Caenorhabditis elegans: one gene and its partners. The protein of the gene in region 3 interacts with the protein of the main gene of each other region in a biochemical or structural test. Each region holds a gene or a part of one and is shown on either strand. Other genes may lie near its edges.

Region 1 (11,940 bases), on a different chromosome or scaffold from region 3:
CAAAATTAAAAAGATGGATTAAACGTGAAAAACTTTCCTACCACTCTCTATTTTTGGGGATGAATTCGATAATTTTCATTTCTTATTTTTATAACGTGAGGAGAATTTAATTTTAAAGATTTTTCAAGATTTTTACTTTTTCTCTAATCCTATTGAGGACCGCACTTCTCGGACATTTTGGTCACTTTAAACCTCACTTCCAGCAGGGCAGGCTGGAGGCCTGCAATGCTATTGTTTTTCACTCAAACCCAAAAAATCCTTTTTACTCTTAGAAACTTTAGACCTTTTCTATCCCTACTCCCAGCAGAGCAGGCTGGAGGCCTTCTATGAGACGTATGTTTCCATAACTACGTCTGTTTTTGGAATGGTCAGGTAATCCGGATTGAGGGCCGCAGGCCCGAATACATAAAAGTATTGGACAGCCATTAAGCCTATTCTGAGCCCAATAAATCAGGATGAGTGCCGCAGGCCCGAATACACTTAAAAAAGACCCAGAAAAAATATTATCTTCAAATGGCCATGGCTCAGTCAATTTTGGTTAAAAAAGATCCAAATTTTCCCCAGTTTACCAACTTAATCTACTGCGAAGCCTAGCGCGCTTGACGCGCTAGTCACTTTTTAGCACTTTTAAATAACTATGTTTTACATGTTTCAAAAAAAATTCTGACGAATTTAAAATTTTAGGTTTGATTTACTACGAAATTTAAGTGTGTGTCATTGAGAAATCAAGTATTTCTAATGTCCGAGAGCCCTAATGTCTGATGATTTTGCCATGAAGACTATGTTGTTCAGAGATGAATATTCTCAAATATTGAACTTTTATTAGGTGGGAGGGGTTGACTTTTGAACCTAAAATCAAATTTTATTCAAATCAAATTTTTTCTGAAATTTTATACTTTTCTTCTATTTCCCAGTGAATATTTCATTTTTCTACAAAATATCTCACGATTTCCTTCGTTCATCTCGAAATTCAATTCTTCATCTTCTTGTACGGTCGTCTTTTCTGGTCATTTTTCCCATTACTCGTCCAATTTTTTTTCCAACTCCAAACGGGTTTCAACAAGATGTCATCTCCTCTTCTTTTTTTGCCTCGTTCGGTTGTCAGAGAAACACAAAAATTTTGACGGAATTTTCTAAAAATTCGGTTGGCAGACCGGTCAGCTGACACCGGTTTTTTTTTAATGAGAAAATGGGAATAAGGTAAAAATGGCTAAAGAATAGAGAAAAAGATGCAAAAAGATAAAAATTTATTTTAATTTCTCAAAATCTGCCAAATGAGAATGTACGTGAAAAAGATGAGGGAAAATGACGTATTATTGAGAGGGTAAAGTGGAGGCGGGTGAAATGAAAAAGAACAGCGAGAAGTGGACTATTGACAAGACAATGCGGTTGGTTGAGAGATGAGAGCTTACTGGTATTTCAAATATCCATTGGTAAATACCAAATGGAATGATTGAGTTATGACCAAATTATATCGCTCAAAATAAATAAGTATCTGGATTGGAAAACTCATAAGATACGGTAATTGTTGTTCAATCATGGACGAATTGAGCATACCTGTGCAAATACATGATATCATTTTGTTTTTAGATGCTTTAGAGACAAATTTTTCCTCGAGAGTTGAGAAGGAAAAACTATTGATTTTAGAAATTTAAATTTTGAAAACCGGGATTCATTGGTGAATTTTACAGATATTTGTCACTATTAACAAGTCTTTAAGTAATAAATACAAATTAATTAAGAATGCATAATAAATGTAAAAAATTCTACCATAAATTTTTATCACGGCGAGACCCATCCTATTGAATGTTTTAACTATGGAATCACTCATAATTTACGTCCAATCACAACTTAACTAAAGGAAAAAATAACATTTAAAAAACCATGTTTACTAGAGCTAAAGTAAAATTTAAAACCATCTTGGTTAAAATGAAGTTTACCTTTTATAGGCTGAATTATACATTTGAAAAAACCCACCAAAAAAGCAATAATCTTGTCGTCTGATGATTCCTCTCTGTTTTTCTCTATCTAAGCGAACTGCAATGGGCGGAGCTTTAAACAACTGGAACATTTTCAATTGCAAATAATGTGAAACACAGTCAATGAGACCGAGTGGCAACAATTGAAGGAAATAATGTATTTACTTGTGAAATACTCTCGTAAACTCTCAAAGTTGTCTGCGAAACGGGCAAAAAACTGTTCGAAGTTTTTGCGACAAACTGTGAAATGCTGCTCAAACACGTCTTAACCTGTGTGCTCCGTCTCGTATTACGGCACTGTAGAGCAAACTATGAGTTCAAACCACACACATATTAAGAACTTTGAGCATTTTGAAATTGGAATGCGAGGATTTTATTACACGGCAAGATTTTGCGATCTAAAAAATAAGGTCCCCGGTCTCGACACGACAAACGTTCGTTAAATGCGAAAAGGCGTGTGCCTTTAATAATTACTGTAATTTCAAGCTATTGCTTCGGAATTTTCATTAATCATTCATTGTTTGAAGAAAAATTTAATCAAGAAAACGAAAAACAAAGCATATGAATGTTAAAAAATCGTGTGAAACACTATGAACAATCTATGAAAATTCCGAAGCAACAAGAGTTTGATATTACAGTATTCATTAAAGGCGCACACGGGACCTCATTTAATTCGCAAAATCACAACAAAAGTGTTTTTTGTTAACTTTTCCTTAATAAAGAACAACACAATATTCCCAGATGTGAAAATTGTAATGACGCTGGGATACGGTACCCGGTCTCGTCACGAAAAAATGTTTTAATAAAAGCTGCGAGAAAAAAGACTGCGCCTTTAATGATTACAGTGGCGTCCATTCCGTTCTGCTGTAGAATGCAATTTTCTTCGATTTTTCACATCTTAAGATTCCTTCACATTTTTCTGTAAAATAGTTTTTTTCACATGCATACTTTAAATTTCTGAAAATAAGGAACTTTCAAAAGAAAATAAAGCGAAAAATTGAAAACATTGTGCAGCAGTCAGAAGTGTAAACTACTGTACTCTTGAAAGACGCACACTGCTTTTCACAGAAATCATTAAAAAATATTACAGTCGTGCCGGGTCCAGGTATCGTATTATTGAGTCGAATGGTTTATAAATAACATTATTTTGGCGACGAAATCCATTCTGAAAACTACCAAATAGAATTTTTAAAAAATAATTGCCCAGTTTAAAGGATTATGTGTTGCAGTTATTTCTGAAATATTAAATTTCCCTGATCTTGATTTAATGTTTCAGAAGTAATTGGTTTCCCTTGGCAGGATTCCTTCTCTTTATTCTTTTTCCATCCAACGAACATTTTATTTCTATTCTTGTACTCATTCCAAACAATGTGATTCATACTTTTTCCATTATTTTTTTGCCTGAAGACAGTATGTGTTTTATAAATACTTTGACCAAACACACACACACAAAATTTGAGTGACTGGTTCTTGCGCAAGAGAAACCTTTTGGAAAAAATATTCATTGGAATCAGTTGGAGGAAAGAAAGAAGGAAATGGGGGCGAGAAAAAGGAACGGGGGGAGCTGTCGAGAAAAATTCACTATTTTCGAATAAAAACCATAGAAAATTATCAGTGTGCGTGTTGTTGGGGCGGATCAGAATTCAATATTCTAAAAAATAAGAACGAATTCGCTCTCGTACTTTCAGAATGTTTGTGTGATTAACATTGTAAGAATAAATAAGCTGCAACTTTAAATCGGAAGGATTTTGATCCCGGTGTGTTAGGCTCACAACTAAGAATAAAACAGGATAAGAGCAAATGGAAAAAGAGAGGCAATCAGAAAAAAAATATATGAGAAAATTTAGCTAAAAATGGAGAACACAGAAGGAGAGAGAGAAAGATTTGCAATCTGTACTCGCCAGAAAAATTAAATTATATTCGATCGAGTACAGTTGCACAAAAATAGAAAATCAGAAAAGAAAATAATAATGAAGAGCATTTAAAACTCGTTTTTGTGCGGGGTGGGGTGTATTGAGGGCGAGAAAATAATAAAATGTTTGAGATAAAAGAGAAGGGAAATTCAAAAAAAACGGACAGAAAAGTAAAAATCCGAGAGAAATGAGTAAAAATGTAGGCAAAAATGTTCTTTCTCCTCATCACTTTACTTCTTACCAGCAGTCGTTCCAGGCCGTCCTCCGCCCACTGCTGGTCGTCCACTGTTCATTCCTTGATACTGATATTTCGCTTTTTTCTCCGATGGTTTCAGAATCTGTAAAATAAATAATGAATCAAATTTTTCTAATTTATTTGAAAAAAAACAATTTCAGTCTTATCCGATCAAAATTAATTCTATAAGCTTTTTGAGTATAAAATTATCTAATAATCACTGATGGTTCAGTTTGGTCATTATTTCCCGATAGGTTCAAGAGGATATTGGAAGAAAAAGAGTTTTGACGTAACATGGGATGCAACTACTTGAGTTAGATTGTTTTTTCGGGAAAAGAACAAATTGTCACTAACTGAACAATTATCAACATTATATATTTAAACATTTTAAATTTTTTCCGAAATGTAGGATTTTAATAAAGAAGTACCGTTTGATGGTACTTTTTCTCTCATATTTTGATATGGAAAAGAAAGAAGATGGAAGGTGAAATACTAATACAGCTCATTTTCGGTTCCTGAGATTTCTAAGATTTACGAAAAATTATTGATTTTTGATACAAATTTCACGAGATTTTGTGAAATATATTCAAAATTAAAGAATTTGATAGTTTTTTTCACGTGAAATACACAGCCACTAGCATTCTAATTTTCTCGATCATTTTAATACGAATTTGTAAATATGCCGGTGCCGTTTTTCTCTAAAAAGGTTCATCTCATGCTAGATTATTTCTTGATGTGATGCGAATGTTCAATGAGTTCCCAGCCAAAATTAAATTTGAAGAGCAGGAACTTTTACATAAATTCGATTTTCAATCTCACGAGGTTTCAATTTTTCGAAATCGGTTCCTCTTGACCAAGGATGCCCGACCCCTAATTTAAAAATCAATTGTAAACACATTTAGAAAATTGGTTTCTGATTTTCCATCTTGTTTGAATTTATTCCATTTCGGGGATCTGGAATATTTGGAAAAAGAATGAAATTGTTGGAACGTGTATTGACCCACGACGTGGCTAAGAAGATCGTATAACGTGAACTCTATGAACTAACTTATTTATTCCTTAGTTTAGTAATGTAATAAACTACTCGTCTTCTCTCCTTGTTCGGCCTTCGAATACATAACAGAAATATTCTTACCTGGAAACTGCACATTAATGTCTCATCAACGCTCATCATTCCACCAGCGTTATCGAATTCTCCACAATAATTTGGAGCAGAGAATAGTGTGACAAGTTGTCGCTTAGCAAAGAACTCATATCCATCTTCGACGACCTGATGAGCTCTGCATATCAGATCCAAATCATGTCTGTTCAAAAACTTTGCAACGACATCAGGTCCAAATGTGAACGAGACTCCTCTATCATTTTCTCCCCATCCGGTAACATCCTTGTCTGGATCAGACCAGAGCAAATCGCACAACAATCCAGTATCAGGAACATCGGTTGGTCGCATCACACGGCGAATTTGTTCCATATTTTGGAGATCTGGGGAGAGTCCTCCGTGACAGCAGAAGATCTTCTCATCAATGAGTGCAGCAATTGGAAGACAGTTGAAGCAATCGGTGAAAGTTTTCCACAATTTGATCGAAAAACGTCTCTTACCTGAAAATTATTTGGTTTAAAGACTTTTCAATAACAATTCCAGCAATTTTTACTTCTAAAAATTATTAAATTAAAATTTGAGGACCTGGTCGTTTTTTTTTGATATTTGATGAAAATTTGAGTATAAGAATCTGAAAAAAAGAGAAATAAGAAAATCTTCAAAATATACTGATTTTTTCAAAGAATTCAGTAGCTATTGTTCTCCAAATTTTTACATTGATTGAAAATTGTAATTATTCTGTTATTTTGAAAAAATAATTGACATAATTTTCCTTTTTTAACTATCGAAATTTGCTGATTGAACTGGACAAATTTTAATAACCCAGAATTTAATGGAATTTTTCGTTGAAATATAAATTAAAATATACACAACCGATGCATGGTTATTAAGAATCTTTTTGTCATCCGGAGAAAGTTTCTACTTGATGTGAACGGGCGTATGAAAATTTAAAAAAAAGCGAATATTTTGTTTTGGAATAATTTGTTATTACGTATCCATGTGCGGGTGAGAAAAATCGCCATATCTTAAGCGCAAAAAGCACCTGCGTCTCTTTTTCTCGCATGCTATCTAACGCCTATGCAAAACGCCTATGGCGAGAGAGCGTGTGGAGAAGAGAGACGCAGGCGTCTCCGCAGTTTTCATCAAATCATGGACACGTAATATCTCAATTAATATTTCGAATTTTCTTTAAAGCAAAAAAAAACCTTACATTCATCGTAGAATCCATAAATACGGTTAATTGAAGCACATTCGTGGTTTCCACGAAGAAGGAAAAAGTTTTCTGGATATTTGACTTTGTATGCGAGCAACAAGCAAATTGTTTCCAAGCTCTGCTTTCCACGATCGACATAATCTCCGAGGAACAAGTAATTGGCCTCTGGTGGGAATCCTCCGTATTCGAATAAACGGAGCAAGTCGTTATATTGTCCATGTATGTCTCCTAAAATTAAATATTTCTCATTCATATTGAACTTTTAGAGAAATTAACATTCTAAATTGTATGCTGCGAAACTTTTCAATGACATTCGGACTTTTTTTCCAATAATCACATACGTTCAGTGATGTTTTTACTAAATAATTGAACTATCTTTGAATTTTTAGACAGAATTTATAAATAATCGAAGACTATTGACCATATTCTCTAGTCGTCTCTTACATTGCAGACACAAAAACGGTTTTTGAATAATAAAAAAACTCACCACAAATCTTGAGAGGTGCTTCGAGTTCCAGAAGAATTGGCTGTGATAGGAAGATCTCACGAGATTTATGACAAAGAGCACGGATCTCCGCCTCCGACATGGTAACTGGCTTTCCTGGACGACATCCGCGAACTGAAAAATAATTTTATTGAAAAATCAAATTAGTCACTTAAAATAAGCTTTAAAGAGAATTAGTAAAATTTTAAATATTAATTAAATTTTTTACGACCGTAAAAATCGGAAAGTGGAAAAATGACAGAAATTATTGAAATAAATAGTTGCCAACCATAATAAATAATGATAATTGCTATATTAAACAAAATTCCTCAAAACCAGAATATTTGGAATTTCTAGTCGGAATTTCAAACAAATAAAATTCAATAAAATTTCTGAACAACTATACAGCTGGTTTAGTTCGAATGTCGATATTAGATCAATTTCTCTATTAACTTTAAAACCCACCTTCAAGAAGTCTGGTGATCAGATTGTCAATGTTTAAATCTCCATCGTTCGACATTGTTTTTGCAGCTGCAATCTCCGCGGCTTCTGTTGGTCACTTTTGATGGATGGCAAGTGATGTATGTTCTTGCAATGTTTTTGGCCGACAACTGATATTGGTTGTGGCTGAAAGATAAAAAATTAGTAACGTTGGCGTGAGAATTTAAAAAAAACTTCAAGGAAAACGTGAGAAAATTGATAAGACTAAGCTTAAAAAGCATCAAAAAACAACAGCAGTAGGATGTGATGCGTATCATTACAATTCCAAGAGGAAAAATGCAAAAATGAGAATTTTATCAAGAAATTGTAATGCGAATATAATATAGTTTTCAAATTTCCTGATTGGATTATATTTTTGAAGAATAAAAACCTTAAAGTGATTTGTTTCAATCGGAAACTCGATGACGTGATGGACACAATATTAAAATGTTTGAGAAAGAAAGAACACATGGTTTTTAACAATCGATATGCAAATTTTGAATTTGAAAAGGCAACAAACGCGTGTCGTGAAAACAAACAAAAAAACTGAATTATGTGAAATTTGTGCTATACTGTTTCTAAACATTGAAAATAGAAAACGAGCAACTGATGCCTTGAAGAAAAAAGTTTGTTGGTGTACTAAGAGAAATTCCTTCGTCCTGTGGTAGCAAAAGACAACAAAAAGAATTGGGGAGCAAACTGAGACCATATTCACTTAAACACCTGCGTCTCTCAAATTCGAAACGTGAATCACCGCTTTATGCACCTTGAGGCAAATCGAAGCTACTCTAATACTCTTTTTTTTTCTGGCCAATTTCAAGTTATACACCTATATAGTTTTATCGGAAAACGGTAACGAGACGACGCCCGTTCCTTCTCTTTGCCGTTATCAACGACCCCGAGGAGGAACATGTCATAAACACGACACCGTCGTCACAGCAGGCGGATAACTTTACAGCACTAGAAAAAGGAAATGGTGAAGATATGATAGAGAGAAAACAGAAGCTTTCAAAGAGAAACATGTGTGGCTGTAGTCAAGCAAAGTAGGTTCATCAATAGTGGAGGAAAATGAGGAGATCGGGATGAAATGCCGCGTATAAAAAGAGGAGCGAAAAGTGACGACGGACTGAGACGCATGTGTATGTGCCTGTCCCTATGTGTGAGTGTACGAGTGGAGCGAGAGACGAACGCGCGCCGATCCACCGGCCACTGCCCGCAGTATTGATCGATAACTCGCCACCGTCGTTTCCATTCTTTCGCCGAAACAATTCGCAATGTTATTGCACTACCTCCGGTGGCACGTGCGATATTGGTTCGACACTACTGACATCGTGTAAGACGTCATGGAATCAAAAACGGCGACAACTTCCGAGAAGGTTTTCTTATCACACTTTGCGCATAGTCTGTTATCTTTTGAAAAGGGTAACGCTTATTCTTGTGAGAAAAAACAACAATAAAAAACGGCTAGAGAAGCTTGAGGTGCTCTTTCTTTCTCTTCTCTAGAACAAATGGGCAAAACGAGATGTACAAGTATTTGATTTGCACGCAGAACGTTTCGAAAAGAGGAAACGACGACGAGAAAGAAAAGATTGAGAAAGGCAAACACTTCCTGTGCGGTAAAGATATACGACATTCCAGACTTTTTTCAAACAACACTTAATAAACAATTTTTTATTATTAAGCATAAAATTATGACAAATTGTATGTTTCTGCCAACAAAATGTTACAAAAAGAACTATTTACGAGCCATAAAATTTCGTAATTATTTTTCTTTTCATTGCGCGGTGTAAAACTTTTCGATGACTAATATAATGTTAACAATATAAACTAAATGATAACACATGTTATTCATATTTTAAACCAACTTCTTTTCTATTCAATCGAAATAAATAAATTCTGGAATAAATACCCCAAGAAGTCATTCAAATCACCTTAAGCCTCTATGACATTACGGAAAATAGTTATATCAAACGAAAATTATTTAAAAAAGAATAAAACTACTTGATTTCGTAACATAAACAGTTTCATAAACGAAAAAAGCGATGAAAAACATTCAAAAAATGCAATAGGACAAAAATTATTTTGAAAGTCCGCAAACACTGTTCACAAGTTGACGCACAATTGCACACAAAAAACCACCGTACTAGGCTCCTTTTTTGGAGATTTGTGAAAATTTCGGAATTACGCTTTCAAATAAACAGCTAAAAACAATTATTAGTCAAAAACTTTTCTCACGAAAATTTAGTATCATGTTCGAGCTTTGATTGAGGTGAAAGAAAACGTAAGCACATGTGAAAAAGATCGAGAGAAGGCAAAATAAGACCGAAAGGAAATGAAAAAAGAGGAGGAAAGCAGGGACGGACGGGGCAACGAGATGCTCACGTTGAGATGAGGGTCTCGAATTCAATTTATTGAATCGCGCAGAAGCAGAAGCAAAAAAAGTTGTTGACTAAACAAGTAACCGCAAGTTTTTGAGAGGGCGAAAAATAGGAAGAAAAACGAAGATGACAAGGCGCAGAGACCGGGAAGAAAAACCGTTTCTTTGGGCTCGAAGGAACGCCTTGTGCTGGAAAATAAAGACTGATTCAATCAAATGTTACTATATATGAGCATACAGATGCAATTAAGATTTTTCGTATAAAAAAGTTTAGGTACATGCTTCTAATGAAATATGTAATGAAAACAGAATGTGATTTAGTTATTCAACATACTGTAGCCGCAATTAATAAGATCACATTGAAAATATGTATCGAAAAAGTCTATGGCTAGAATCATTCGTTATTTATTTGCTATCTGCTTTCAAATAGCGCTGAGTCGACTCAGTAACTACGAGATAGAACAGAAGCCTTCAAAGACAAGTACGGTAATTGTATGTTTTTTATCAGTTGATGATTTTCAGCTAGCTTAGCTTAATTTTTAGATATTCGTGAGCAAAAAGTGAAAACTCAGCAAGTTTTTGAAGAACATTGAATCAGCTGTCCAAAAGAGTTCGTGAGTGGGAGGAGTATCAGTTTTTTAAATAAAAATTCTATATAATATTCAATCACCATATTCCAAGAAATTTTTAATTTAACATTTTTGGCTCTTTTCGAATGAATCGTTATTATAAAGGCATAAACAAACATCTCGGGAGTTTAAAATGGGAAATAACAGTGAATTCGTTATGAACTGACTGTCTCGTCTGTATTCGATGTGAAATTTCCCAATAAACGATGGGAAAGTGTCGGAACGAAGCGATAGTATAGCAATAAGGTCAGAACAATTGACGAGATTTAGAGAAATATACATCTTTCACATCACCAGCGGCAACATTCGGAATGATTCAAGTCATTCTCCGACCACTTCCTCCTAATCGAATTACGAAGAAACGTTCTGTTTCTTATTCTTCCAGATGACCAAGACTAAAAAAGAAAAATGAATCCACAGAAACAGAGAGAAAGAGAGTACAATGTGACGGCTTCAGAATACCTAATAGTAAGCATAACAGACGTTTATTTTAAATTTCAAAACACTTCAGGACCAGAATACACAATCAAAAGACACAGGTCATATAAGTCAATGTTTTGTGTAACAATGAATAGAAAGACGTGTGTTTTGTGTTGAAAAAGGGATAAAGATCAAGAGCATCGGAGACACGTATCGATTTCACTTGTCTTTTTTGTTTAAAAATATTGAAATAAGAAAAGGTAAGTAACAAAACATACTTCATCTTTTGAACTCATTGAACACGCCACCGTCAACTATGAATCATAGAATAGGCCAATTAAAACGGAAACATTTATACAAAATGTAAGATTTAAAGTTGGTTTGTCACTTGTGGTCATATTGTTTTTTTGTTGAAAATATATTTAATTTCCATTTAAACACAAAATGAAATTTCAGGCTTAGACTTGATTTTTTCTAAGTCTCCAAATAAAAATAATGATGCCATAAATGATCATGTTTTGATTGAAACAAAGAATTACAAACATTTTAAGTGTACAACTACAATACCCAAGTGCTTTGAAATTCGCCCACCGGGTTTATCAACTTTGGAACTAAATTTGATAAATACCAAGAAATAATTAACGCCCACCTGTATCTAATAAGGAAATGTCTGACAGACTATATATCATAGAACAAATCTCGAATTTAATGCTTTCACAATTATTTCTAACAATGAAAACAAACCAATTGTAAACCCATCAAGTAAGTGGAGTGAAAAAAATGAAACCAATATATATATATTTTGTTAAACCAATACCTAAAATTTTCATTCATTCACCATAAAAAGTTTCTGATCATTTTCTGAAGAAATATGATACTTTTAGAATTCCCACCTCTTTTGTTTTTTTTTCCAATTCCAGAGAATAATTAATGATAACAAAGATCTACTCCCACCCATTCAGTAAATGGTTCAAAACAGGAAGTTGTTCTCTAAAGCATGTCTGGAAGAAAAGGAGTTTTGAAAAATGAATAATTTGCGTATTTTCAGAGAAAATATTTCCGGTTAATACCGTTGGGAATCTAAGAGCTCAGCAATTTGTTCCTAAACTCA
Region 2 (10,162 bases), on a different chromosome or scaffold from region 3:
TTTCGAGGCAAATATTCAACAGGACTGCTTTTGTCACTTCACTTCCTGTTCCACTTAGCACATCTTTCATTAGCTGGAAAAATGTTTTTTTATGAATCATATCCTCGTAGCAAACGTTGGAAAAATCGGTGACTATTTGCTATGTGGCGTTATATTTAGGTTTAACAAAACATAGACCCGAGGTAAGTAGATTTTGTCTGAATTGCTATTTCAATAATGTTCAAACAATTTCAAAAAAAACAATTGATTCACAAATAAAGTAGCTCAAACGACAACCACTATTCGAATGCAAACTTGAAAATAATATCAAAAAATTTGAAAAGTTTTAGTATAGGATTGGTTTTTAACAATTTTCCACTTGCGTTTTTCCATCTTTAATGTATAGTAACTTTTCGACTATCTCCTTTGATTGACCCAACTCACCAATTTAATAGCATCGGTGTATGCTAACATTGCTTTTGCATCATCATTACAACTTAATAAATACATCATATTCAATGCCTTCGTGTCACTGTCCAATAGAGATGCCATATGTGGTACAAGACCTCCATTCACCATTTTTGGTAGATTTTTGGAGTCAAATGAAAAATTGAAAAGAAGCATTATAACTGCTTTTCGCAGTTCTGGATCTTGAATTGGAAATAGTTTCAAAAGTTTTTCGATTGTTCCATTTTGTTCCATTACAATCTTATTTTCATCAAAAATACTTAATTTAAGAAGAAACTTGATAGTTGCAGTTGTTAGTGAACTTGTAGATTCTGATGACATTTGGAGGCATCTAGAAATGTAAAATGAGTGAATGTGGTGTTAATTATTAAAGGTGGAGAGATTAAAAAAAACTGTGAAAAGTGTTACTATGATATTTCAGCATTTTACAATTTCCTCACTAACTGCGCCTTTAAACTCACTTGACAAGAAGTGCCACCAAATTTCTTCGGACCATTTTCAATTCGACACTGATATCCGTGGCTAGATTGGTAAGAAAAGTGACACATGCTGGAATTGAACCATTTTCAATGTAATATGTACAATTGCAACAAACCTGCCAATAGCATCGCCTGTTTTCGAATGGCTGTTTTTAGTTTTCTCAATGTCTCTTGATCCGTCTTTTTCATCTCAGCAATCCAAAAATCGTACCGTTTTGTTTCATGTTCCATTGCATTTACACATAAAGTACCAATCTGCAAATCTAGCTTTTAAACGAAATTCAGGTGAAGTGAAGGCGTTTAGAAACCATGCATGCCTTGTGATGAAGCAGAATTCCGTGTAAACATGAAAACTTGGAAATATTCACAAAAAGGTTCATAATATTGGTTCCAACTTCAAAGTGTTTCTTCCAGTCTTCTCGGAATACTCTTGCCAGTGCCATCATAAGAGTTTCTGAAATGTAGTGTTATTTGAACGTTAACTTTAATACATAGATTACGTCCGAAAATTATGGTCATCGGGTAAGCTTTTCTAGAATTACCTACCATTGTTCACAAGCTGTGTGAGGTTTTGAGGATTTTTTGAAAGTTCATAAAGTGCCACGGCTCCTTTGTTTTTCTCAACAGAAGTTTCACCGTAGAAGCATTCTATGTACTCCTGAAAGATACATTTTTAATTTCAAAAGTAGTTTTTCAAGTTCTATTTGGTTTTAGGCTCTCACCATAATAAGAAATCTGTTTTTATATAAATGTTGAATGATGTATAGAAAACCATTCAAAGATTATTTTAAACTAATCAGATTATTTTCGAAATAAATTTTTAGATTCTAAAATATTGGTACTACCGGATACAAAAGCACTCAAGCGAGCTTGGTTTTGTTTCAGCTGCTCCATTTTAGAACATGTAACAATTAATGTTTTCAATTTTGATATAGCCTATGCGTATTTGTAAAATAAAACCAAATGCTCCTCAACTTTACGTAATCTACAAAATGTTTTCTTATAAAACGTACATCTATTTTCCCTAATTCTGCACTAATTGTAGGACTATGAATAGGCCTTCGATCAAATGAAACGGCCGAAGAACTTCTTGATCTCGCACTTATTCGTTGATTTCCTCTTTTTTGAATGTAGAACAAAACCTGCTCCAATTGACTTCGTGACGTGGCAGGAATGAAAAGACATTTTTGAAGAATAACATTTGATAAAGCACGAATATCTACATCCAGACTCATTTCTTTCAAGTGGATTCTGTAATACAATTTGGGTAATTTTGTAGCCGTACAATGTTAGATGCAGGTGACATTTTGAGGTTCTCATATATATATATATTCGATTATTATTTTTTATCAGTTATTTTCCAATATTCTAAAAATTAAAGAGGCATGGATTCATGGGGAATGGGTCTCACAGCGAGCAAAATGCTCAAGTCAACACTTTTTGCTATTTTCGGTCGTGCGTTTTCTGTTATTCGGGGTTTTGTGAGCAATTATTAAATAACTTTTCTGTATCTTGATTGTGGTTTTTGCAACAGAAAAAATTTAAAGTGTTACCATAAACATTTTTCGCGGTGAGACCCATCCGAAAGAATACGTGCACCTTCGTGGGCATACGGTCTTAAAAATATTTTATTTTATTTTTCTTGTTAAGCAGATTTGCATTCCAGTTTAATTTTATATTTTATATCAGATTCTTACATTTTTTGATGGCCAAGAGACTCAACGTTCGCTGAAGAAGCTCGCTTTTTTATTGAAATTCCTGCTGAAGAACCTGAATCAAACTTCCAAATAATCTTCGTAACACATTCAATTGAAAATAAAAATATAAAACTTACTAGGAGATTGTTCAAATCGTACAATAATTGCCTGATCTGACGGGTGTGCATCTATTGAAACTTGATTCATTGAGCTAAACACGGAAAATCAATCGAAAAAACTCAAAAAATATTTCTCTTCATTCTGATTACCTATTATAGCTTACTGAAGAGCCGGGGCGGAGCATTTCTGAATAACTGACAAACGACAGAAATCGATGAGACGGCTCGAGGAGCACTAGTCGTGGGGGATGTCTGTTCGTCTCGCACGCTCTCCTTGGAGACGTTGCACTCGTTGTAATAAGAAATATTGCTTACACGCTTGTACCAGTGTTCTATTTTATTTGTTCGGAAAACTTTAATGAATTAAATCGACAAATGGGGGTTTTAACAATATAAAATTGAGAAACGAAGAGTACGGGATGGACGAATGAATGGAGGAAGGAAAGGAGTGGAGATTGATTGACATCATAAACATTTGTTTTAAATATTTAGACCATTTAGAGAAGTAAAATTTGATACTGTTTTAAGAGATAAGTTTAGCAAAAAAAATTAAAATTTGGAATTTAAAAACGAATAAAATGGGGATTGTTTTGATGAAAAATTGAGCCAGCAATTGGTGAGGAGTCATTAGCTCTAAATGGTCCACAGAGATAAAGAGGAAGGGATGTTGACAACGAAAGCTTGAATTGAGAGGAGATTCGCCGGGACCACAGCATCTTCTCGTGCCAGCCTAGATCATAATGAATCGAATTTAAACTTTTTCGAAACTATGTTTAAAATCAAAATTAATGTACACAACTTTTTGAAGCCGATTTACGAGAGATGGCCGAGGCCTCTTGGGGCGTGAACAACAAAGAAAAGGTTAGGTATTTACAGATGATAGATAAATCGACTGATGATTACTTCTTGGCACCCTTCTTTGGTTGCGCAGCCGGTGCGTTTCGTGGTGGGGTGACTGGTCTATTTGAACCAACTCCTCCAGCACCATATGGATATTTCTTCTTGTCTGCTGGTTTCAAGATCTGAAAAAAATATTCCGAATTGTTTTATTTTAATGTTTGATAGGTAGTTTTAGCGTTTAATAAATCACCTCAGACAAATGCCTCAATTTCACCCCGCTTAGCGGCAATTTCTTCGAAGAACTCGAATAGATAGCCAAAATAGACTCGTCTGATTTAACCATTGCATCATTGGTGAATGCATACGCATTATCAGTATTTAAAATTATATAGATGGTACCGCTATGTTTACCTGGAAAGAGCACATCAGTGTTTCATCGACAGTCATCATCGATCCCGCGTTATCAAACTCTCCACAATAATTAGGAGCGCTGAACAATGTAACCAACTGCCGCTTAGCGAAGAATTCGTAACCGTCTTCCACAACCTGAAAATTTCTCGGTTCGCAACTTTGCAGAAAATCTTAAGTAATACCTGGTGAGCTCTGCAAATCAAATCCAAATCGTGCTTGTGCAGGAATTTGGCAACAACTTCTGGTCCGAAAGTGAAAGAGACGCCTCGGTCGTTTTCTCCCCAGCCAGTGACATCCTGAAAATAAATGGTAATCATTCATTGAATTTTATGTTCACAAACGAACTTTATCAGGATCTGACCACAACAGATCGCACAACAATCCTTGATCTGGTACGTCTGTCGGCCTCATGATACGACGAATTTGCTCCATAGACTGAAGATCTGGAGAAAGTCCTCCGTGACAGCAGAAGATCTTTTCGTCGATGATGGCGGCAACTGGCAGGCAGTTAAAGCAATCGGTGAACGTCTTCCACAGTTTGATGTTGTATCGCCGCTTGCCTAAAAACATGAGATTTGAATAAATCTGTACTAAGATAATCTCAGATCAAACTCTTACACTCGTCATAGAAGCCATAAATTCTGTTGATCGAGGCACACTCGTGGTTTCCTCGGAGCAGGAAGAAATTTTCCGGGTACTTGATTTTATATGCAAGTAGGAGACAGATAGTTTCCAACGATTGTTTCCCTCGGTCCACATAATCGCCGAGGAACAAGTAGTTCGACTCTGGGGGGAATCCACCATACTCGAACAGTCTCAAAAGATCGTAGTATTGTCCGTGCACGTCACCTGAAAAATATATTTTCTCAGAATATATATTATCAAAAATAAAAACGGCAATTTCCTGTGGAAGGAAATACTAATAAGTAAAATGACTCATAGCAGGAAACGTCAACTTTTTTCGATAGAACTTACCGCAAATTTTCAACGGAGCTTCCAACTCGAGAAGAATAGGTTGGCTCAGAAAAATTTCACGAGACTTCTGGCACAACCCCTTGATCTCGCTCTCTGTGAGTTGAACATTTTTCCCTGGTTTGGATCCTCTGACTGAAGCGGAAATCATTTTAAGATTAATTTCAATAAACACTATGACAAACACATACCTTCCAATAATCTGGAGATGATATTGTCCAGATTAAGCTTTTCTACGTCCATTTGTTGCGAGAAATCGCTCAAACAACCCAATTAGATCTGCAATACGAATAGAATTACCTCTTTGAGATAATGTCAATCAACAAACGTGAAAATACGGAAAATTTAGAAAGAAAGTTTGATAATTACGTCTTTAAATCGCGTGATTACTCGAAAAGTTGATAAAAACAGCAGCAAACATGTCAAAAATCGAAAGATATTTGGAGGCGACAGGGTCAAAACGAATGAAAAGAGTGGCGGGTCTCGCCGCGAAAATGCCGCATTCAGCAGGGTACGGTGGCCGGTGGAGCGCTTTTACATGTTCTCATTTTTTCTGAATTTATCCGCTAATTTAATGATTTTGAATCTGTTTTTCTACATTTTTTCTTCTTGTTAAAATTAAAAAAAAGGGGACGTTCAAATTTTCAGAACTTCATTAGTATTGAATTGAAAAAGAGCGCGCGAAAAGGATTAACTTGGTTAGAGGGCTTTGAAAGTTGAATTTTACATTGAGGAAAATATTTCTACCATTATTTAGAAGATAAAGCTTAAAGTTTCTCTTTTCCCTGAAATTTTCACTATTTGTCAAAAACGGGGCACATATAATCGAATGATGCGCCAATTCGTCACTTTGTTTTCGACCAAGATGGCAGAGAAATTGGTTGGTGGTGAGAGATTGAAATGTGTAAATATAACAAATACACTGTTCTTCGTTCACGATTTGTCAGCAATTATGATCAGATGCAAAAACATGGGGAACAAGATGCATTAAATCTTATTAAGTGAAAGTTTAATAGATGAAAACGTAGTTATAAGAAGTTTATTTAGCATATTTTGATAAAACTTTTACTTATGAATCATTTTGAAATATGAGATTATTATAGTACTCAAAAGTTATATATTATTTAGCTAGAAATATATGAACACTTTGGTACTTCTGCATCCATGAATTCGTTCAGAAAATATATTGAAGCATTAGTTAGAAAATGAGCAGTGAGCATTTAAAAAAATCGATTGATGTCTAGTCAAGTTCAATAAGAAATAAGAAAAAAGAAAAATAGTTGGAGTGAGAAAAATCAGCAAAAAAGATGCGAGAAGTGTGGTGCTCATGGAAGCCTTCTTCTCCATCCTCCTCACAACTCCCTCCATTTCTCTGCGTCGCCTGTTCCCTCTAGTCCCTCGTGACCAACTGCAGTTTCTGTCGTTTTCTCCCCATGTCATGTCTAGCACACGTGAGAAGTGAAAAGAGAGAAAGAGAAGGGCATGATTTCGATTCTTCTGCCGCTTTTCTGTCACTGGTAACAATGCACCTTTGTCGGATCAGACACTCATAGATCGTTGATCTACCTGAAAGTTTGAGAAAAACAAAATCTCTGTTGTTTTATCTTCTCACATCTTCCTATTGATTATTTTTTCTCTTTTTTTTGTTGTCCTCTCTTCTCATTCGTTCTATCCTATCTGTTCCTGTTTGTGTTCTGTTCTTCACCACATTTTCTGAACAAATCGATAATCTGCACAGTTCGAAGAAGATGCCGCCAAACGCGAACTCTGTTGGGGGCCCGAAAAAGAAGAACAAGAAGAATCATCAACGCCCTCAACAGCAACATCAACAAACACAGCCACAACCGCTACCAGAAGAGGAACAGCCGGTAAAGTGTTACTTCATAATGATTTTTCAAAACTAAAAGTTAAAAAAATCGAATTTCAAAAAATCTCCTTTAAAAAACCGTTTAACGGATTTTTCCGTTTTCTAAAGCGCTGCAAACATCGAAACTATGCAATTATTTTCAAAGATAGATAAAATCTTAATAGATTCGGAACGCTAACGAATGTTTTTCTTATAGTACTACCCAGACGCGAAAATTCGTGCCAAAAAACGGTACTGGGTCTGGACACGACAAGTTTTTGTTGAATGTGAGCCTTTAAATAGTACTGTAATTCCAAACTTTCGATGTGTGGAGTTTACATAAATTTTTTATAGTTTTTCTTACAAATTCGATAAAAAATTCCGTAGCAACGAGTCGTGTCAAGGCCGGTTAACGTATCTTTGGCTTCTGCATACGAATGTATACATAGTATCAAACATAAGATAACTTTTAGTTTTTTCTCGTCGCAAAATAAAAAATATTAGGTATACGTCATTTCAAATGATTTTTGAATCTAGGTAAATTTGAAAAATACACAAATATATTTTACTTTTTTTGTCAAAAATTAATATTTCTTCCACCTGTTTTGCACAATTTCAACACATTGTGAAAGCACCATAACAGTGTCTGCGTCTCACTCACGATTTCATGAAATTTTCCAATATTTTCTTTCTTTTCTTCTCCACTTGATTGGCACTCCTCTATCGGTTTGACTTTCATTTCATCATCAGGTGACCACTGACCCTAACACATACACTCAAAATAATAAAACTCCGTGGCGTGTACTGCAGAAAACCTAATATTTAGACCCCGCCTTTTAATCGTCCACTCACGGGGAAAACGCAAAAAGCCGTACCCCAGGCAATATCAGCCGCCGACATCATTCGAGGTCCGCGCACCACACTATTTTTCTCACTGTTGGCGTGGCGAGCTGTCCCCCCCCCCCTCCCCTATTTTTGTCTTTTCCCCGTGAGTGGACGATTAAAAGGCGGGGCCTAAATATTAGGTTTTCTGCAGTACACGCCACGCAGTTTTATTATTTTGAGTGTACACGTTCAATGTTAATTATAACACATCATCTATTCCCATATGCTGTTTTTTCTCAATTTGAAGTGTGAACAAAAAATAAAACCAATTTACGTCTTTTGATTAACTTTGCGAGACTAATTTCCATAAAACCATTTCCATCTCAAAATTTATAAATTTCCAGGAAAACCCCATCAAGAAGGACCCAAAACCAGAAGTTTTAGAAGAAGTAGTAGAGAAGAATCGAGAAGAAGACAAAGAAAAAGTAGAAGAAACGGTGGCTCCGACCATCGAAAAAGAAAAAAACATTAGCGGGGATCTTTTGGATTTCAGCTCTTCGGATAAGAGTAGTTTGAGTAGCAGACCGGTATGTTTCTGATTTCATGTTTGAAAAATTTTGTAGAATTTAAAACTGAAAAAAGAATCGTCTCTCTAAATGTGGTAGTCTGGTTGAAATTTAAATTCTCAACAAGGACGTTTAAACTTTTTGAAATTTTTTTATAATATTAACACTCGATAACCCGTCATAATTTTTTAATTGAGAATGTGAAGGATTCGCCGGAAGAAGACGAGGACGCCGTTCCAGTGGTCAATAGGACCACAACGTCTCCTCCAACATCCCCACCGTCCCAAACAGCAGTTGAACAGGATTCTTTACAAGCTGAAGAAATGCTTGTCGATATGTCACTTGACGATGCTCCAGCTGCACCTCCAAGAAAACCACATCAGAGATCAGCACCACCACCAATTCCGTCAATGAATACGATAATGACAAAGCCAAGAACCAACTCAGTTTCTTATATCAAGGGACAAGTCGTTCGACAATCTGCTGTAGAACAACAAACTCTCGCCAATCAAGTGGTTGATTTAGTTGCGATGGGAATGTCAAAGGGACAGACACAAAGTTCACAAATAACTGCTGAAAAGGCCGAATGGGTGCAATTAACATCTGTGGAGAAAGCAGGAGAACCGAATGAAAGGCTTGAAGTGCTGATTGTTGGATTATGTCGAGGATATCAAATCTGGACGATGAGTGTAAGTTTCTAAATATTTATTTAATTGTGAAATAGAACGGAAACTTTTCTGTTTCTGTATCATACATAAATCAATTGATAAACATAAATTCCTACCGTGATTAGATGGAATTTCAGCAAAGCGGCGAATTCGAAGAGGTTCTATCAGAAAGACAAGGACCCGTGAGAGCTTTGAAAGTGCTTCCAAATAATCTTAAACTCCGTGGAAAGAAAGATTCATTCGCCGATTCCCGTCCACTTATTGCAATGGTTGATGCTTCTTCTCATCACCCTGATCGACAGTACTGCTCGGTCACCATCATCTCATTGTTAACTGGACGAGAAGTTCATAAAATCAAGTTCGAAGAGCCAGTTTGTGCTGTTAATGTGTCAGATCAATTTTTGGTCGTCTCTCTTGCAAATATGGCGTATGCCTATGACATTCTAACATTCAATGAAGTTAGGACCATTCGAACTGCACCATCCTGCGAAAACAGTCCGCCAGCACTTTCCCTGTCTTGCCAACTTTTGGCATATGCTGACACTAGTGTAGGTTTTTAAAATTTTAATTAATACTTTTGATTTATTTTAAAAGTCGCATTTGATAGAATAATTATCATTCATTTTCAGCTCGACTTGAATCTGCAAAGTAGTGGAGGACTTGCCGCTGAAGTTGAGGCAACAAGTAGTGAGAAGTATACCGATCATATTTATACTGCAATGAGCGTAAGTTGCTGATTCTAACCAATGCTTAAAAACGTTTTTGTTTTAGTACTTCAGTCGTAGCGTCAAGACAATCAGTGAATCAGTTGGTGCAGGATCGGGAAGTTCTACGAAGGCTAATCAGCCACAAGGAGTAATCACTGTTCTCAATCTGGCAGTCTCCGGAGAAGATGAATCAGATGGCGTTATGTGTCACTATGTAGCACATGTCGATCCTATTTCATATATTGCATTTTCACCTGATCAACGATTGGTTCTTTCTGCCGACGCGAATGCTAACGTTTTCAATATATTCCTTCTGATGCCACATGCTACATCATCTTCATTGGCCGCAGTTCAACATTTGTACAAGCTGAATCGCGGTAGCACCCCTGCAAAAGTTGTATCCACAGCATTTTCCGAAGATTGCCGTTGGTTGGCAATTACTACGAATCACGCAACAACTCACGTTTTCGCAGTTTGTCCGTTTGGAGGAAAACCTAATCAAAGAACACATGGAGATACTTTTGTGAACAAAGAATCAAGATTTCATAGGTCTGCTGGATTAACCGATGCAGCAGATGTTACTGC
Region 3 (9,190 bases):
GAAAAATTTATCGAATTGAAAAAGAAAGTGGAAATAACGTTTTGGTCATCGGAGATTGTAACACTTCTAGAAAAACTTGATCAACAACAGAAGAATGTTGCATTTGGAATGATTATTGAAATTGTTAGTTTTTTTCTCACATTATAAAATAATTTTGATGGGGGAATTGTTAAAATCCAGTCCTTTAACCAAATATCATATTAAAACTATTGAAACAAATGTTTTCTTTTGAAATTTATTGGCAGTCAAAAATGGCAAGTACCAAGTTTTTGCCACTTTCGCCAGTTTTGGAACTCGACCAAAAATGGGTATTTTTCTTTGGTTATTTTATAGTTAACTTATTATTATCTGGACAAATTCATGCTATTCTACTTTTAAATATTACAATATTTTGCCAAAATAAACGAAGTACAAAATATGCGCTACTCGTGCTAGAGCTCGACTAGAACTAGAACCAACTTTTTTGTTCTATACTTTTATCTAGCTAGATATCTAATTGTTTGATATTTTTTCCCAGTTGAAATTGAAAACGCACTTTGAATCATTTATGAATCTTTTTATTTTCATTCCACCTCTACAATCATTTTTATTGCAGGCAACTTGGGAATATGAAAACTCAAACAATCGAAATTTACTAAAACTGATAAACGCTTTGCTTGATAACGATGAAACGAAGAAGGAAGTACTTGTGAATTGCGAAAATTTGTTTTCAGTCGAAACGCCACAAATTGAAAAATGCTTGGCAAATTTGAATATTCTTGTTGCCTTGCTTTTGAATATAAGTCTTGTGAGTCTGGTTCTGTAATGATTATTTTGAAAATACAATTGTAGGAAAATCGGATCTACAAAGAGAAGCTTGAGCAAAGTATTTGTCAATTAATTGCTCGAATTTTTGGGAATAGAAAGTTTAGATCAAGCCACATGATGTCGATTATTGAAGTGCTCGAAACTGTTGAACGAAAATTTGGTCGTTTTTCTGGAAAGTTTGATAACATGCTCTCACTTCTTGAATCGAGATCTCATATGCTTGAGAGGTAAGTACTTCAAAACGGACATATTTAATCTTAGTGATATATCTATTATCCTATTTGAATAGTATTTCTCTTGCTTTTTGAAATAAATACCTCATACCCAACCTGCAAATGAAATGAAGGAAAATCTTGAATTTAATTTTCAGATCAGAGCAACACCGGGTGATAAATTTGATAAGATCCCGTTCTTCACATTCTCCAATTCCTCCAGAAATATTGGCATCTGCATACTCATCTGGTGCAAGTATTCGGAATGTTACCGTAATTGAACACTCACAATCAGCACCAAACTATTTTCCGCATAGAACGAGAGATGAAATTAAACGAGAAGTTCAAATGGAATATGAAAGAAGATGGAGAATAGAAGAGGAAGAAAGATTAGAAGAAATACGAAGAAAAAAGGAAGAAGAAAGAAAAAAGAAAGAAGAAGAGGATGAAAAGAGGAGGAAAGCGGAGGAATCAGAAAGAGTTCGAAAGTTGAAGGAAGAAGAAAAAAGAAAAAGGGTTTTGGAAGAGGAGATGGAAATGAAAAGAAAAAATGAAGAGGCAAAAATTAAATTAGAAGCTGAAATGAGGGAGAAAGCGGAACAAGCTGAAATTAAAAGGCGTGAGGAAAAATCGAGAGCATTAAAAAAATTGCAAAAAGAAGAAACAAACAAAATGGAGCAGATGAACAATTGTACATTTCTCCAAAATGTTCCTCTCTTCAGACATCTACATCCATCAGGATCATATTCTGAACGAATGCTCGATGGAAAGGTTATTGGATTGTATTATTCCGGTTATTGGTGTCAACCATCTCGTGACTTTACACCAATTCTCGCACAATTCTATAGTCAAGTAGATAAGAATTTCGAGATATTATTTATTTCAAGCGACAGGAGTGAACAGGAGATGAATTATTATTTGCAAAGTTCTCATGGCGATTGGTTCCATTTGCCATTCGACTCACCAATAAGCAAGCATTTACAGCAGTTCAACACTAAAAATGCGATTCCAACATTGATAATAATAAAGCCAAACGGAACAGTTATTACTGTTGATGGACGAGATCAAGTGTCTAGTTTTCTCAACAACCCGCAAGCATTGGTTAATCACTGGAAGTCTGTATAATTTCTTTTTTTTTTGTATGTATTTATGTTTTTGGTTAATGTTGTACTTGTTAGTATAAAAATCATTTCATGATATTCGCCGATGATATCAAGCTACTTGGTGACAATGTCAGCGCTATTCAAAAATCAATCAATGTCGTGACCGATTGGTGCGCAAAATGGAAATTGAACCTTGCTGAAAACAAAACCAATGTTATCCACTTTGGAAAGCGGAATCCAAAAAATGAATATTATGCAAACGGAATGAAAGTCACCAAAAAGGACTCAGTGAAAGACCTTGGAATCTTCGTCGACGACAAGCTGAACTTCCAGAAGCACATAAACATCATTTCGAACTTAGCCCTTCTCAAATGCCGGCAGTTACTTCGATCCTTCCGCTCAACAAATGCCAGCCTTTACTTCAAATTGTACAATATCTATGTGCAGCCAATATTAAACTACGGATGTGAAATCTACAACCCGATCTCTAAAAATATGATTAAACAACTGGAGTTCCCACTGAAGTTTTTCTCGAGAAAAGTCTTCCAACGCTGCAATCTATCATACTCATCATATGAAAACCGTCTAGCTCAGATGAACCAAAAGTCAGTTCAACACCTGCGGATTCTTCAAATATTGAGGACCTATCACAACATCCTGTCTGGTGAATACCACTTTCCGAATGCCGCATCAACTGTGAGGAAGGCTCGCTCGCCCAGATATCCGTACATGATGTGCCCTTGTGGATCAATCAACGAAAGCTTCCTACTAGTCAATCTTCACCTATGGAACCGTATGTCCAAGTTACTTCCGGGGACAATGAGCCGTCAAATGTTTGCATCACGATTAAATTCTATCCCGTTTAATTATTTTTCCCACACAACTTGATCCCCTTAACTACTTTTGGTTTACAGGATCATTCAAATTATTCAAGTCTGTTTCTCCCGGTGATTATTCTATACTTTCTGTTTTGTTACGACGATTTGAATAAATATATATATATATATATATTCAATGCTTCGAGAGAATAAATGGGAATCTGAACGAGAAACTAAGATTTCTTATATCACATTAGTATATCACAATATTTAAAACTACATTATTTCTTGAAAAAATTATTCACAGCGTTTTTGAGTTTGAAGTTTTTCGATTAATGGTTAATTTCATGATTGACCAGAACACATCGTTTTATCAGAATCCTCAAAATCCTCATCGAAGTCGGAATCCTCGGATGTATCGGAATCCGAATCATATGGATCAAATGTTTCCTCTTTCTGCATTTTTTCATAATTTTCGTCCAATTCATTCACAGAACTCCCCCAATTTGCTTCATTATTACTGATCGAAGACACAGATTCCTGGAAAAATTCCAGACTTGACATATATTCTAAACAAGTTTTGTCAAATACCTGAGGTTGGTCTTCCTTGAAATCTTCGAACATCGTTCCGGTGGATTCTGCCAACTCATCGGGCACCCAGATCACTTTCTTGCACTCGTCCGTTTCACAATTCTCCATAGTTTCAACAGTAACCTATTAAATGTTAGCTTTGTAGGAAATATAAAATAAAATGAATCACCTGATACACATTGTTCTTTGCATTTCCTTTCAGCACCCACGAGATGTCTTGTCCGTCGTCTTTGCCAATTCCTGTTGCATAACGCTTGAACTCAAACAAGCTAAAAATTACCACTTTTTGAAATATTGGAACTTCTGAATGCTTACCTAAGCCGTTTATGGATTTTCAAGATCCACAATGGGCGAGGACGATCATTTTTCTTATGGCTCACCATTGTTGAATAAAGTCGAGGATCGAGTGAAACGGGAAATTGAGAAAGACAAAATGAAAAATAAATTTTCGCGCATCTTGGAGAGGTCAAAAATTCTAATTTTCGTCCTGACTTGCTCGTTTTAATAATTTCTATAATTTGAAAACAATTAATTTTTTACTAATTCAATGTATTATTTTTCTTTAGTTTTGCCTTTTAAAGCCGAGAAAATAAAGTCAACGTTTTTGCGAATAAAAAACAAAAAAAAAACAGGAATTTGTTTCTCAATGGGTTTCACCACGATTAGCCTTCGTCTGTGCAAAAAAACTACGGTAGTTGGAAAAAGTTTTTCGACATTTTATTTTACTGGATCCAGCTGGAGTTTTCAACCACTTTTTACGGGATTTTTGATTTGTTTCTCGTTTTTAAAAACTATCGTTTGAACAGTTTATGAATCTGCTTTCTAATTTCTAATTTTGAGCTTTTTATTCAGATGGCTTCACGTGTTAACATCGTTCAAGTCCAAATTCTCGATAATCCAGCGATGTTTGTCGACAAGTTCAAAATGGAGATCACTTTTGAAGTTTTTGAGCACTTACCACATGGTATGTATATTATTTACACTGCATAAAAATTAAGAATAATCAGATCTCGAATGGGAATTGGTGTACGTTGGATCTGGAACCTCCCGAGACTTCGACCAAGTTCTCGATTCCGCGCTCGTTGGCCCGATTCCTGAAGGACGTCACAAGTTTGTCTTTGATGCAGAACACCCGGATATCTCAAAGATTCCAGTCGAGGATATTGTTGGTGTCAGTGTGCTTCTCCTTCGTTGCAAGTACAACGATCAGGAGTTCATCAATATGGGATGGTTTGTGGCAAATGAGTACACCGACGAAGAGCTCAAAGAGAATCCGCCTGCAAAGCCGCTCATCGAAAAGGTTCTGTTCTTTTCAGGAAAAAAACACTTTATTTCAAAAGTCATTCACACAAAATTATTTTTGATAAATCAAGCACCAGTTATTGTCTAATGACAGTCCATTCCTGATCGTCAGAACGGTTTTCGTCGAGTCCAATAAAGCCCTCCACCTTACTTCCAACGAAGACGATTGCTCCGGCAATTATAAAACTTGCATAAACAATTCCTCCGATAGCTTTGTCGAAAATGTATGTAGCGCCTCTGTAGTTGCTATTTTTGGTCGCTACACTAGCATGAGTTGAATTATTTTGCGCTGCAGTAGCTTTCATTTTCACAATCTGAAGGAAATAAATAAATATTATTAAACGAGCAATGAAACTAATGAAATAATTAAAAATAAAGAACGAAAAATAGTTGAGAGTGAGACAATGACAATGAGAGAACTGAATACGTTGTGCACGCTACCTGTCGAGCAGATGGACATCATCGATCGGGCTCACGCACACAGATGTACTGTATGGGATGACGTAATAAACCATCTGTTGTGGAAAGAGGGAAAAAGTGAAATGCTCTAAATTAATCTCAAAGTTCCTTCAGTTAAAAAATGTAGATAATTCAGTTTTGACCTTGAATTTTCAAAAATTTTCAGCTTTCCCGTAAAATCGAAACCGAAGATCTTCGCGTCACCACATTCCCAATTCGGTGGACTGATGAGGATCCAGTCGCCGAGCCGGTTGATGAAGAGGCAAACAAAGTATTCGATGAGGATGATCTTATGCCATTGCATGATGATGGGCAGGATGATGACGAGGAGGAAGAGGTGGGTAGAATCTAGCATTATCTGAATATAATAATTTACTGTTATTCAGGACGATGATGAGACGGGTCCCAATACTGAAGAAGTTGACTTGAACGAGAGCTTCAACGAACGAATGGCGAATGCACATGACGGAACGGAGCAAAAGAACGGAGAAGAAAGTATGGAACACGATGGAGCAAGTGGAGATGTTGAAATGGGTGGTAAGTGATACTTTCAATCATAAGTTAGATTGATTTTAATTATTTTTTGTTTTGTCTGTATCTCCCTATGATTGTAGATAATCAACTTTTTGTTCAGATAAACACTGATACGAAAGCTACCGAATCGATGGTCGATCCCCTTTCCGATACAACAAAACGCGATTTCAGATCTGGTTAATTTGTATTTAAATATTGCTTTCTTAACTTGCATTTTTATTCATCTCCGATACTCACTATCAGTTACTGTAAGATTTTTGAATTGCATCTAAAATTACTTCACTTTTTATTCAAAGTGTCATATATGTCAAATTGCCTTTAAAGGAGATTTTAGTTTTCTGAAATGAAGTTGCTTTCCGTTCGTTTTAATCTGTGGATATGTATCATTTTTGAGGAGTGTTTTCGGCTGGCTTTGTTTCCGCCCCTGGAAGTTGAAGGATAGATAATTCTAAAGAAGCTTAATTGACAAAATTTATGAAAATGAATATTCAAAAACACGACAGACAACAAAATAACCGGTCCGAGATAATCAATAAAACAAGTACTTGGGAAAATAATTGGGGAGATGGACTATAAACTACAATTAAAGTTTGATGAATCAATATGTTAGACATTAAAAATATATTATCGCCATGATGTGAAAGATGTCGGTTTATTGGCATTGGCAGATGCTCCTCCTCCAAACACAGAAGATGTCGGAGCTGGAGTTGTGTTAGCTCCACCACCGAAGATAGAAGTATTCGTCTGTGGAGTTGCACCTCCACCGAACAAAGATGAAGTCTTCTGGCCTGATGCAAATTGAGCAAATCCACCAGTGGCAGGGTTGTTGGTTGTGGAAGATGTTGCTCCTCCGAAGATTGAAGCATTTTTAGATAATCCTGCATTCGCCCCTCCTCCGAATGGTTTAGCACCAAATGCTGGTTGCGATCCGAATTTCGGAGCTCCTCCAAAAACTGACGACGTTCCTGTTGCAGGTGCAGATGCTTGTTGAGCTGACGATCCGGCAGTGTTGAAAGAAAACGACGGCTGAAATAGGAAATAAATGCTTACAATACAATGAGACTCTTGAAACGATACTTTTTGCTGTTGCTGTTGTTGTTGATTACCACCACCACCAAAAAGCCATGAACTGCTACTGGCTGATGTCCCAGTTGACGTCTTCGGTGCAAACGGATTATTTCCACCAGAAGTGTTGGATGTTCTCGCATTTCCAAGTCCACTCATAAAACCTCCAGAACCTCCACCATTTGCCATTGAATCGTCTTCCATTCCATCATCCACATTTGGAACTGTAGGCGCAGTCACTGAACCTCCGAAAACGGAGGATGGTTTAGCAGAGGCGCCTGCACCGAAAGATCCAAACCCTGCCGGCTTTGCTGATGCCGACGTTGCTCCAGTATTAAACGAAAAAGTCACAGAAGCAGTAGATGTTGCAGGGTTCGAAGTTTTAGCCGGTTGGCAACCAGCCTGTCCAAAACTTCCAAATGGAGAGCTTGCTGCTTTTGAGCCACCTCCAAAAATACTTGACGTGTTCGATGCAGGTGTAGGGGTGGCCGTTGTTGTGGTTCGAGCTCCAAAAATATTTGTTGAGTTGGAAGAGCTGGGAGTTTGAGTTTTAAGACCACCGCCAAAGATCGATGAGGTGGAGGAAGTCGACTTTGGGGTAGTTGTTGAGTTGAACGCTGAAAGTAATTTTTTTAAATTTCAGTTGATTAAAGTATGGAAACAATACATTTATAATGTTCATATAATTACATCGATTTAATCGAATATCATTCTTTGGTTGAAACTCATTTTTTTAACAACAAAAAAGGAACTTACAAAAACTTGGTGTTTTTTGTATATTACTTCCCGTTTCCTCTTCTTTCACTGGAGTCTGAACAGCTGGTTTTGGCTCCTCTTTCACTTTTGTTTCTAATGATTTAGGCTCTTCAGACTTCAAGTCAGGTGTAACTTCATTTTCAGATTTTTCATCTTTTACTTCTTCAGTTTTATTCAGTGTCTCCACTTTCGAGGATGCTTTTTCGATTTCTTGTGGACTGATGCTCAGGGAACTGTTAATCAAAGAAGGCACTCCAGTTGTTAATGTAGACTCTTCTTTGGAAACTAAAGGTGTTTGTGTTTTTGTTCCAAACAAACTACCCGAAGAGAAAATGGAAGATGATGCTGGCGTAGAAATGATTGGTTTTTGATCTTGTGTTTTATTTGCTTCTTCTTTTGGAACTGTTACTTTTGGTGTCGTCATTGTTGTGGTCGCAGTTGTTGTATTGAGCTTTATCAATGGCGAAGAGACAGCTGGAGCAGAAGCTATTGGCTTTGCTGGTGATTCAACTGTTACCACGACAGTTTTAACAATAGGAGGTTCATCGGCTTGAGTTGCTGCATCTGATTTAGTGGATGGTGTAGATGGAGATGCAGAGAATAGTGAAGAAGATGGCATAACTCGTCTTGGTGTCATACTCAACTTGAGAATTGCATTTGAAAGATTTGAAGTATCGAGCAAATCATTTTTCATTGCTGCCGAATTTTCTGACTTTTTATAAGACTCCACGATGACGTTTCTAGTCTTCACAATTCCTCGTTTTTGAATTTGATTCACAAGTGCTTGTCTTACTTTGATACTTTCTGCATCAGTGAGAGATTTTCCTTGAGGAGCGTCTCCATCTAGACTACTCATCTCCAGTGGTTGCGTGAAGTTCAGATTTTCCTTTCCCTTCTTGAAGTTTTGAAATTTGACGTCCCTTTGGAAACGGACAAATTCTAATTCAGTTCGCTGAATTTGCTCTCGGGTATCCATGATGATTTTTGAGACGTTGCGCATAACTTTAAGAGCCAACTCGGTTTCACTACCGGAGCGAAGTTGATTGAGATTTGAACTGAGACGAAGTGGTGACAATATTGCCTGTTTTCGAAGTGACTCCTGTAAAAATTATATTAAAATAAGTAAAAGTAAAGAAACGATGCAAACCTTCTCAGACAAGCTCATTCTCAGTTTTTTAATCAAATCGCTACATTCTTCATATTTTCCATTTAACAAATCGGCAGCAGTCTCCAGTTTGTTGAATCTCATCAGCTTCTCAGTTTCTGACATATTTCTGAGCTTCTCTAAAACTTGATTGCCATCTTCCACTCCGGCAACTAATTCCATTTTTTCGTCGATTTCAAAATCCATTTCCTTCACCGTGTGTTGTGTTCTGTCAGACATTCGCTCGATCGACAAAATTAGATTTTTCAGTTCGTCCATAACTTCTTTAGAATCTCCTAATGATGCCCTAACCACATCAGCACATTCCATAATTGTAGTTTTCACTTTTCCCACAGCAAATGATAATTTCATCGTAGCATCTTTAGCTCCAGCCATTGA

Evidence for each region.
Region 1: the proteins of lab-1 (region 3) and gsp-1 interact in far-western blotting, tested with the Caenorhabditis elegans proteins (one study listed by BioGRID).
Region 2: the proteins of lab-1 (region 3) and gsp-2 interact in far-western blotting, tested with the Caenorhabditis elegans proteins (one study listed by BioGRID).

Annotation. Positions count from the first base shown.
Region 1 is NC_003283.11:10,678,032-10,689,971, reverse strand, and holds gsp-1 (Serine/threonine-protein phosphatase PP1-alpha), read right to left. Parts: upstream 7,551-11,940; 5' UTR 7,444-7,550; coding exon 7,389-7,443; intron 7,059-7,388; coding exon 6,927-7,058; intron 6,668-6,926; coding exon 6,437-6,667; intron 5,727-6,436; coding exon 5,263-5,726; intron 4,231-5,262; coding exon 4,123-4,230; 3' UTR 3,467-4,122; downstream 1-3,466. Other genes in the region: F29F11.20 (uncharacterized protein), read right to left, coding at 1,409-1,557, 1,978-2,071. UniProt on the Caenorhabditis elegans protein: Serine/threonine-protein phosphatase which antagonizes the function of air-2 in the regulation of chromosome cohesion. Dephosphorylates histone H3 at 'Ser-10'. Dephosphorylates translation initiation factor eIF2alpha.
Region 2 is NC_003281.10:7,331,669-7,341,830, reverse strand, and holds gsp-2 (Serine/threonine-protein phosphatase PP1-beta), read right to left. Parts: upstream 5,245-10,162; 5' UTR 5,209-5,244; coding exon 5,157-5,208; intron 5,101-5,156; coding exon 4,969-5,100; intron 4,843-4,968; coding exon 4,612-4,842; intron 4,554-4,611; coding exon 4,339-4,553; intron 4,290-4,338; coding exon 4,176-4,289; intron 4,129-4,175; coding exon 3,994-4,128; intron 3,940-3,993; exon of another isoform or gene 3,829-3,939; intron 3,765-3,828; coding exon 3,642-3,764; 3' UTR 3,066-3,641; downstream 1-3,065. Other genes in the region: kap-1 (Kinesin-associated protein), read right to left, coding at 1-73, 424-778, 909-996, 1,043-1,181, 1,235-1,380, 1,473-1,584, 1,940-2,177, 2,624-2,696 and 1 more; F56C9.10 (BCAS3 WD40 domain-containing protein), read left to right, coding at 6,714-6,833, 8,041-8,223, 8,400-8,891, 8,996-9,418, 9,500-9,595, 9,642-10,162. UniProt on the Caenorhabditis elegans protein: Serine/threonine-protein phosphatase essential for chromosomal dynamics during meiosis and mitosis. During meiosis, promotes chromosomal cohesion and germline immortality via a small RNA-mediated genome silencing pathway.
Region 3 is NC_003279.8:9,653,891-9,663,080, forward strand, and holds lab-1 (Long arms of the bivalent protein 1), read right to left. Parts: upstream 4,134-9,190; 5' UTR 3,915-4,133; coding exon 3,847-3,914; intron 3,801-3,846; coding exon 3,701-3,800; intron 3,655-3,700; coding exon 3,532-3,654; intron 3,481-3,531; coding exon 3,286-3,480; 3' UTR 3,122-3,285; downstream 1-3,121. Other genes in the region: T05F1.11 (protein-disulfide reductase), read left to right, coding at 1-123, 596-787, 832-1,034, 1,178-2,144; asfl-1 (putative histone chaperone asf-1-like protein), read left to right, coding at 4,384-4,495, 4,539-4,831, 5,459-5,629, 5,679-5,829, 5,927-5,937; C03D6.9 (Aa_trans domain-containing protein), read right to left, coding at 4,911-5,138; npp-14 (Nuclear pore complex protein 14), read right to left, coding at 6,451-6,852, 6,904-7,508, 7,648-8,746, 8,795-9,190. UniProt on the Caenorhabditis elegans protein: Involved in sister chromatid cohesion during mitosis and meiosis.